Macaca mulatta: one gene and its partner. The protein of the gene in region 1 purifies or fractionates together with the protein of each later gene. This does not show direct contact. Links are inferred from orthologs where the notes say so. Each region holds a gene or a part of one and is shown on either strand. Other genes may lie near its edges. The genes, in order: ATP5F1C and ATP6V1A.

Region 1 (4,266 bases):
CCTTTCAAAGTGCTGGGATTACAGGCGTGAGCCACTGCGCCTGACCCGCGACTGCATCTTCTTTTCCTCTTTTGGCAAGTCCAAGCAATCTTTCTTACATTACATTTGATGTAGAAACTGTACTTAAACTCTTCATTTATGTAATGATATACAGCATTTGGATCCCTATCAGCATTTCTCCCACTGTCCTACATGCTTTGCAAATACTCTAATCCTCACACTAACCCACTGAATTGTGCACTTTTATTGCATATATTTGACAGATGAGGAACTGGTGGGACAGACACTAAGTAACCCGCCCAAGGTCACAGAGCTGCTAAGTGGCAATCAGAATTCAATCCCTGCCATCTGAATGGAGCCCTTCAGGGCTGGCTACAGAGTCTCTCTTTTTATACAGTACTACACTCTGCTGCCTAACATTTTTTACATTTACTAGTAAATATCTGCCCTTATGGTCTCTGATGACAATTTGTCTTTTCTCTCCTGAAATGCCATCTCCTTTTCGGTGTATGTAGTTTATGACTACTGACACGCTATTATAGAACAGTTCCATTTTAGAGACTACTGAACTCTAAGACATAGAAATAAGTTTTTCCCAGATTTGAAGACAGTAAAATCAGGGACTCTTTCTCTCCAAATTTTTATTTCCATTTTCTTAAATGCTACTTTAAAAAAAAAAAGGTTTAATTTTCAAAAAGGGTATTTTACCGATACCCTAACAACTATTAAAATAACCACTGCGAATTTAAGTAAGACTAATGTTTAATTTATGTTAGTATGGTAACCTCTCTGAAAACGAAAACTAAAACAATAACAAATTGTACTTTAAAAAACTTCCAGTAATCGAGACAGAAGCGTGGAAATATGCCTCTTCATGGTTCGTTAAGGCAAAGGTATTTTTTTCCCCTTCCAAATTAATTCTGTGGAGTGGTTTTAATTTCTGAATTCGAAAGGCAGTTATAATTAACGGGAAGAGAAATGGCAGAAGAGGCAAGAAAGACATTAAGCACCAGGAGTGAAGGAATAAGTGAAAAGAAGAGGACAGAATATGCTTCCATAGTGGAACACTGTTGATTGATGACTTAAAACCACTATTCCAAAGGGATTAAGGTCAGGATTAGGACCTTTATATGCTGATTGAGGTTCCGATTTCAGCTCCTAACAGTGGTTGTCTCCAACTGAGAGCGCTAATTATTTAAAACGATCCTTTACTAAAAGAGCTTCAAATTATCTTACGAGTGCTTTTAAAAAAGGTATTTCTAAATTTTTTTGTAAAATATTGTCTTTGCTTAAGAAACTCTTCCCATTTTTTTAAAGATCGACTTAGAAACTAAACTAAGGTTCTAAAAATACTGACAGATAACATTAATGCGTGGCAAGAAGGTAAGGACAGGAGAGCTGATGTTCGCAGAGCACCACTGCATGCCAGGCACTGTTCCAGGAAGCTGACGGAGACCTTATCTATTTGTTCACCATCACATTTTGGCACCTTCCAAGTACCACCGGGTGCAGTGCAAGCACTCAGCTAACGTCTGCTGAGTGGTTAGTTAACAAGTGGGGCAATCTATACAACTCAGAATCCAACTACAGTGACCTTTTAATTCCCATGAATTTATTTTTCCGTATTAGAGAAAAAAAATCTGACTTCTAAGGCCAAGCTACCAAAAATTCTATGTGGCTAATTCACATCAGATTTCATTCTGAAAATCTCGTATATTACTATCAGTTATTTGCTTAATGCAAAACGTATTTATTTCAATTAATGTTTTATGGACGCTTCAATATAAATTAGGATGCAAAAAACTGTAGCGCCTTAGAAATCCTCCATACTGTTTAGAGCAGGGAATTGCTACCACACAGCCTATAATCCCCTTAGCAGCGTGTCTGAAATTCTTCCAGATTCTGTCAAGATTCAAAACTCAACAGCACGACCCACAAACCAACTTTTACCTGCCCATTCCCAGGCCTTCTAATATGCATTCCCCCAGCCCAGGTCCCCCCACCTGGAACTAATGTTTAAAATTCTCGAGGCTCGTGGCACCATTTAGCTGCACCTCAGTTAACAAATACCACTTAAAGCCCACCGACCTCCTCCCCCTAGGACCTTGGGGCAATTTCATGACCTTGCAGGGTTATGGTGTCAGCAAGTGGTTTCAAGGCAGTGCTAGGTGTCCTTCCCTTCCCCGCCCTCAGACAGATCTATACCGTCCCTTCTGCACCAAGACCACCCTCAGGGGCATCTAGGATGTTCGCCTTTGCTGTTCCAGCACCCAGCAAAGCGTCTGCAACACGGGAGGTGCTCGACGGCCGCGCTCTCTGACTCGATCGAATCTTAAAGGGTCACTCTGTCCAGCACTGGAGGGTTTCAAAGGGCGTCAAGGACAAAAAGCACAACTTAACATTTCCCCTGGGCTATCGCTCAGGCTCCCGACACCTCGCGGGCCCTGAGACTGGGGGCCTGGCTCGCAGTGGAAGCTCAGGAAGTGTTGATTAGCTGAGGGAACTCAAGACCGCCCAGACGTCAATTTGGACTCAGGCCGCAGTCCCGAGGTCCCAGGTGGCCCTCGGCCTCAGGGGACCGGGCGGAACCTTGCTCCGCCGGAGCCGGGCCCTGCGCACGCCTCGCCGGCCTCAGAGCCACTTTCTGCAGCCCCCGCTACCCGGCGCTTCCGAGGGGCCAGGGGCCCAGTCAGGCCCTGCGACCCCAGATCTGCTCCTGCGCCCATCTCCTCCTCCCTGCCCCGTGCCCAAGCTCTTCCATCCCTTGCGGTCCTGCCGATCTTCCCGCAAGTTGCCATACCATTGAGGCTGCAAGGTCCAGGCCGACAGCCCAGCTACGCCCGCGCGAGAGAACATGGTAGCCCCAGCCCTGCTGAAGGTCGGTCAGGCAGGCCTCAGCGCGCATGCGCAGAAGCCTCCTAGCGCGTCCCTCCCACCTCGCTCTCTTCTTCAGTCTCGTTTCCTCGCGCTACGGCGAGAGGAGCCTCGCGAGCGTTGCAACCCAGTCTTCCCAGGACCCACCTCTTTCCGCCTCTCAGCTGGGATTTGTCCCGCCCACCGCCGCCAGCCAAGTTCCGTTTCCGGCTTGCTGGGCACTAGGGTCCAGAAAGTGACCGCTGCCGTGGTCGCCATGGGGAAGTCGGATTTTCTTACTCCCAAGGCTATCGCCAACAGGATCAAGTCCAAGGGCCTGCAGAAGCTACGCTGGTATTGCCAGATGTGCCAGAAGCAGTGCCGGGACGAGGTGAGTGGGCTCGGAGTGGCCCCGTCTTCCCAGGAGGGCCCCTGGGAATCCAGGATCAGGTCCTGGACGCGGGACTGAGGGCGCGGGGCCGGGGCTCTTGGGATCCGGGTCGTGAGGCTTCTGAGGTCTGCACTGGGCGAGTCAACTACTCAGCGCACTAGAGCCGTCCCTCCCCGCAGCCCGCGGGGCCAGCGGGCAGCCTGTGTTCTGCGACCCCTCATTCCTCCCTAGTTCCGATCCCCACCATCAAAGAAACGACATCAGAAAAGGTTTTGCAGCCCTCACAGGGGCGGGGATACTGCAATACTAGATGCCCGGGCAATGCCAGTAACAGTCATCAGCTCTGACTTGACTTGGCTCTTAAGAGAAACAGGGTGGTTAGGATTCACACCTCTTTTGGGATCAGTTGAAAAAGGAGAGCTAAGCTCTTCCACACAACTCATCTAGCAAGCATTTATTGAGAACCTACACTGTACCGGGCACTGAATAATACTGTGGTTAAGATTATGGATTTATCTGGTTTATGGATATATCAGACTGTCAAAATTTAAAGTCAAGCTGGGCCACTTACCAACCATGTGGTCTTGGTCAAGTTATTTACTTATATTCTCCTTTACTTATCTCTAAAGAGGGAATAATAATTTCACCTACTTGTAGGATTGTCGTTGAGTTTTAAATGAGTGAAGTATATATAGAGTGGCTCAAGGAGTCTGGGCAGATCTTGAAAAGCCTTATATGCTGCACTATGGAATTTACGCTTTTCCCCATTAAAGAGGTGGTTGATGGAATGCTGTGCAGGCTAGCGATGTGATCATAATTTTCTCCGAAGATCGGACTGGATTGGGTAAGGGTGGAAGAACACTGAGGCAATTGGAATAATCTAATCCAGTGTTTCTACAAGTGAAGGAAGAGATATTTTAGGTGGGACTCATACTGACTAACATTGATACAGTTATTCTCTTTAGTTCTATTAATGAATACCTGTATATCCATTATCTAATGTCTTAGTCTGCTTGGACTGC
Region 2 (3,818 bases), on another chromosome or scaffold:
AAATTTTATTCTGTCTTAATTTTACTTAGTATATACTAAAACGATGTATAATTTGACCAGTGAATTATAGAATTGCATATTTAGGGGCCAGGCATGGTGGCTCATGCCTGTAATTCCAGCACTTTGGCAGGCCGAGGATCACATGAGGTCAGGAGTTCGAGATAAACCTGGCCAACGTGGTGAAACCCCATCTCTACTAAAAATACGAAAATTAGCCAGGCCTGATGGCGCATGCCTGTAATCCCAGCTACTTGTGAAGCTGAGTCAGGAGAATTGTTTGAACCCAGGAGGGAGAGGCTGTAGTGAGCGGAGATCATGCCACTGCACTCCAGCCTGGGTGATAGAGTAAGACTGTCTCAAAGAAAAAAAAAATTGCATGGTTAGGACAAATATGCTTCAGAATTTTTTTAACTTTGTTTTTTAAGAAAAATTACTGTTTTGTTTTGTTTTTTTTTTAATCAGGTGTTCTGGGGCTTAGATAAGAAACTAGCTCAGCGTAAGCATTTCCCCTCTGTCAATTGGCTCATCAGCTACAGCAAGTATATGCGTGCCTTGGATGAATACTATGACAAACACTTCACAGAGTTCGTTCCTCTGAGGACCAAAGCTAAGGAAATTCTGCAGGAAGAAGAAGACCTGGCAGAAATTGTACAGCTTGTCGGAAAGGTGAGTTGTTAAATTCCATGGAAAATAGATCTGTGGGTTACACTGGGGTGTTACAAGAACAGATAGAGCCTTAGATATTGCAGATTCTTGCCTAGCAAAATAAATATTTATTAAATATTTTTAATTGAAATTTTTAATTCATTACACTACTTAGCATGGTTCTTGGGTATATTGTAGGTGAGAAAGAAACACTTGATTTACTTTTATCTTGAAATGGAATATACCCATCACCAACCAAATTAGAGGTGGTAGAGTTAGGATTTGTTAACATACATTTTTGTAGGAATGCTAGGGCTAGGTACCAGAAGGATTGGCTTATAGTTCCTCCATTAATTAGCTATGTGGCCTTAACCAGGTGACTTACATTCTTGTGTCTGTATCTTGATTCTTCAAGGAAAGGTGGTGTAATTAAATTTAGGCAAATTAAATGCCAGAATGAAGACTTCTCAGGTAGTATGCAGTGCTAGTTAGTACTCAGAGTTCTCTGTCTGGTTTTGTTCTTTTTATTATATGTTATAAAGTCACCTCCTAATTTATTCCAAAAAAGGTTAATATTTGGAGATAGCTAACATTGTAGCATGTATTACTACTTATTATTTGTAGAATAAAAATATTCTCTTATCTGCCCAATAAGAGAAGCAAGAAACAAGAAGAACTGTAAAACCAGATAAAGGCAATACAAGAAAGGAAAAATATAGGCTAATATTGTTGATGAATGTAGGTATGAATGTAGATACTTAATAAAATATTAAATATTAGAGTATGAGGTCCAGTAGGATATTAAAGACAACAAAATGATACATCATAAGCAAGTTTATCTCAGGAATGTCCATATTAGACACAGAAGATCTATTGTAATTCACTAAAGTAATAATCGGAAAAGGATATCTCTATTAATGTAGAAAAATATTTGAAGTTTATTACAATTTTTAGAAACAGCAAACAAGGAATGGAAGAGAACTTCCTTAATGTGTTGAAAGTAATATACTAAGACCTAGGGAAACCACTTTACTTACTGGAGAAATTTCAGATGCATTTCATTTAAAAACTGGGGTTAAGACAAGCATGCCTAATCTCATCACTGTGTTCAGTCGAATACCAGAGATTATAACCAATGGTGTAAGAAGAGAAAAAAGAAAAATTGTAAAGAAAGAGATAACAATGTCATTGTTTGTAGATAATGTGCTCTTATATTAGAAATATAACAGAATTAACAGAGAAACAGAAGTAAGAGTTCACTGGGGGGTTATGATTCAAGATAAACACAAATCAAGAGAATTTCTCTACACTAGCAATACCAACTAGAAAATAAAAGTAAAAATAAGATGTTCTCAATAGCAACAAAAACTAGAGTGTAGGAACTAACCAGAAATATGTATTTCTTCTATGAAAACCACTTTTAAACTAATAAATGAAACAGAAGATGATCTGAAAATAGAAACAGTCCATGCTCTTGGATGGAATGACTTATTAAAAAGATGCCACTTCTCAGCCAGGCGTGGTGGCTCACACCTGTAATCTCAGCACTTTGGGAGGCTGAGGCGGGCAGATCACGAGGTCAGGAGTTTAAGACCAGCCTGGCCCATCTCTACTAAAAATACAAAAAATTAGCTGGGCATGGTGGCGGGCACCTGTAATCTCAGCTACTTGGGAGGCTGAGGCAGGAGAATTGCTTGAACCTGGGAGGCGGAGGCTGCAGTAAGCCAAAATCGCACCACTGCACTCTAGCCTGGGCGACAGAATAAGACTCCATCTCAAAAAAAAAAAAGCCATTTCTCTTTAATCTGTAAATTCAATGTAACGCCAATCTAAAATTCATTTGATTTCACAAAGATTCACAACCTTAAATAAGAACAGTAAAGTGTGAGCTTTTCCCCTATTGGATAAGGGGAAATACAAAACCATAATAATAAAGATAGTGTGGTATTGGTAAAATAACAGACCAGCAGACCAGTGGAACAGAATAGAGATAGACTTATGATTGTATAAACCATTGATAATGCAAAGATGGTACCAAAAATCAAGTGAGGAGAAGATATATTGTTTTAGTCTGTGATAGAAAACTGTTTACTATTTGGAGGAAAAAAACAAAATTGGATTGTTCTCTAATTCCACATACAAAGTTAGAATCCAGATAGATTCACAATTTACATGGGAAAGGTAAGACTTTCAGTTTAATAGAAAACAAATATTAAGAAAATATCTTTGTGATCTAGAGTTGGAAAAGGACTTCTAAAATAAACCCCTTAACATTAGCCTTAAAACAATAAAAAGAGTTTTTTGATTACATGAAAAGTAAGCATTTATGTTTAGCAAAGGCCTATCCTGGTTAAGGGTAACAGACCAGTGACATTGGGAGGGAAGTTTGTGACATCTAAAACTCATGGACTGGCTGGGCATTGTGACTCACACCTGTAATCCCAGCATTTTGGGAGGCCGAGGTGAGTGGATGGCTTGACTCCAGGAGTTCAAGACCAGCCTGGGCAACATGACGAGACCTTGTCTCTATAAAAAATATAAAAATCAGCTGGGTGTGGTGGTGCAGGCCGGTAGTCCCAGCTACTTGGGAAGCTGAGGTGGGAGGATCACTTGAGCTCAGGAGGTTGAGACTACAGTGAAGCGATATCTCGCCACTGCACTCCATCCTGGGTGACAGAGTGAGACCCTATCTCTATTAAAAAATAAGTAAATACATAATAAGATAAAAATGTTTAGAAAAATTTTAATTTTAAAAATATTTTTTAAAAAATTAAAGAAAACACCGATGGACTAATGTCTAAAATGTACAAAGATCTTCTGTAAATGAATAAGAAGACTAGAACTTCAACAGAAATGTGGCCAAAAGAAAGAACAGACTGACTATAGAAAAGGAATCCCAAAAGACTAAGACCTATGGAGAATTGCTCAAACAACACTGAGAACACCACATTATACTAGTTAAAATGTCAAATATTGCCAGTGTTGTGGAGACAGAGGAACTGGTGGGCGGATTGTCTGGTGCTGCCATTGTGGAGACCAGTCTGATAGGACTGACTTACATACCCTGGGACCTAGCAATTCTGTTTCTGGATATTTATCCCCAAAGAAATTCTCAAACAGGTCCTTAAGTGGATGTTTGTGGTGGTGGGGAAATAGAAGAAATCTGAAGGTCC

What was found.
Region 2: the proteins of ATP5F1C (region 1) and ATP6V1A fractionate together in Homo sapiens (co-fractionation; 3 studies listed by BioGRID). This does not show direct contact. The link is inferred for Macaca mulatta from reciprocal best matches to the Homo sapiens genes ATP5F1C and ATP6V1A.

Annotation. Positions count from the first base shown.
Region 1 is NC_133414.1:9,288,551-9,292,816, reverse strand, and holds the start of ATP5F1C (ATP synthase F(1) complex subunit gamma, mitochondrial), read right to left. Parts: upstream 2,886-4,266; 5' UTR 2,857-2,885; coding exon 2,801-2,856; intron 1-2,800. Other genes in the region: KIN (DNA/RNA-binding protein KIN17), read left to right, coding at 3,131-3,244.
Region 2 is NC_133407.1:169,928,256-169,932,073, reverse strand, and holds part of ATP6V1A (V-type proton ATPase catalytic subunit A), read left to right. Parts: intron 1-462; coding exon 463-666; intron 667-3,818. UniProt on the Homo sapiens protein: Catalytic subunit of the V1 complex of vacuolar(H+)-ATPase (V-ATPase), a multisubunit enzyme composed of a peripheral complex (V1) that hydrolyzes ATP and a membrane integral complex (V0) that translocates protons.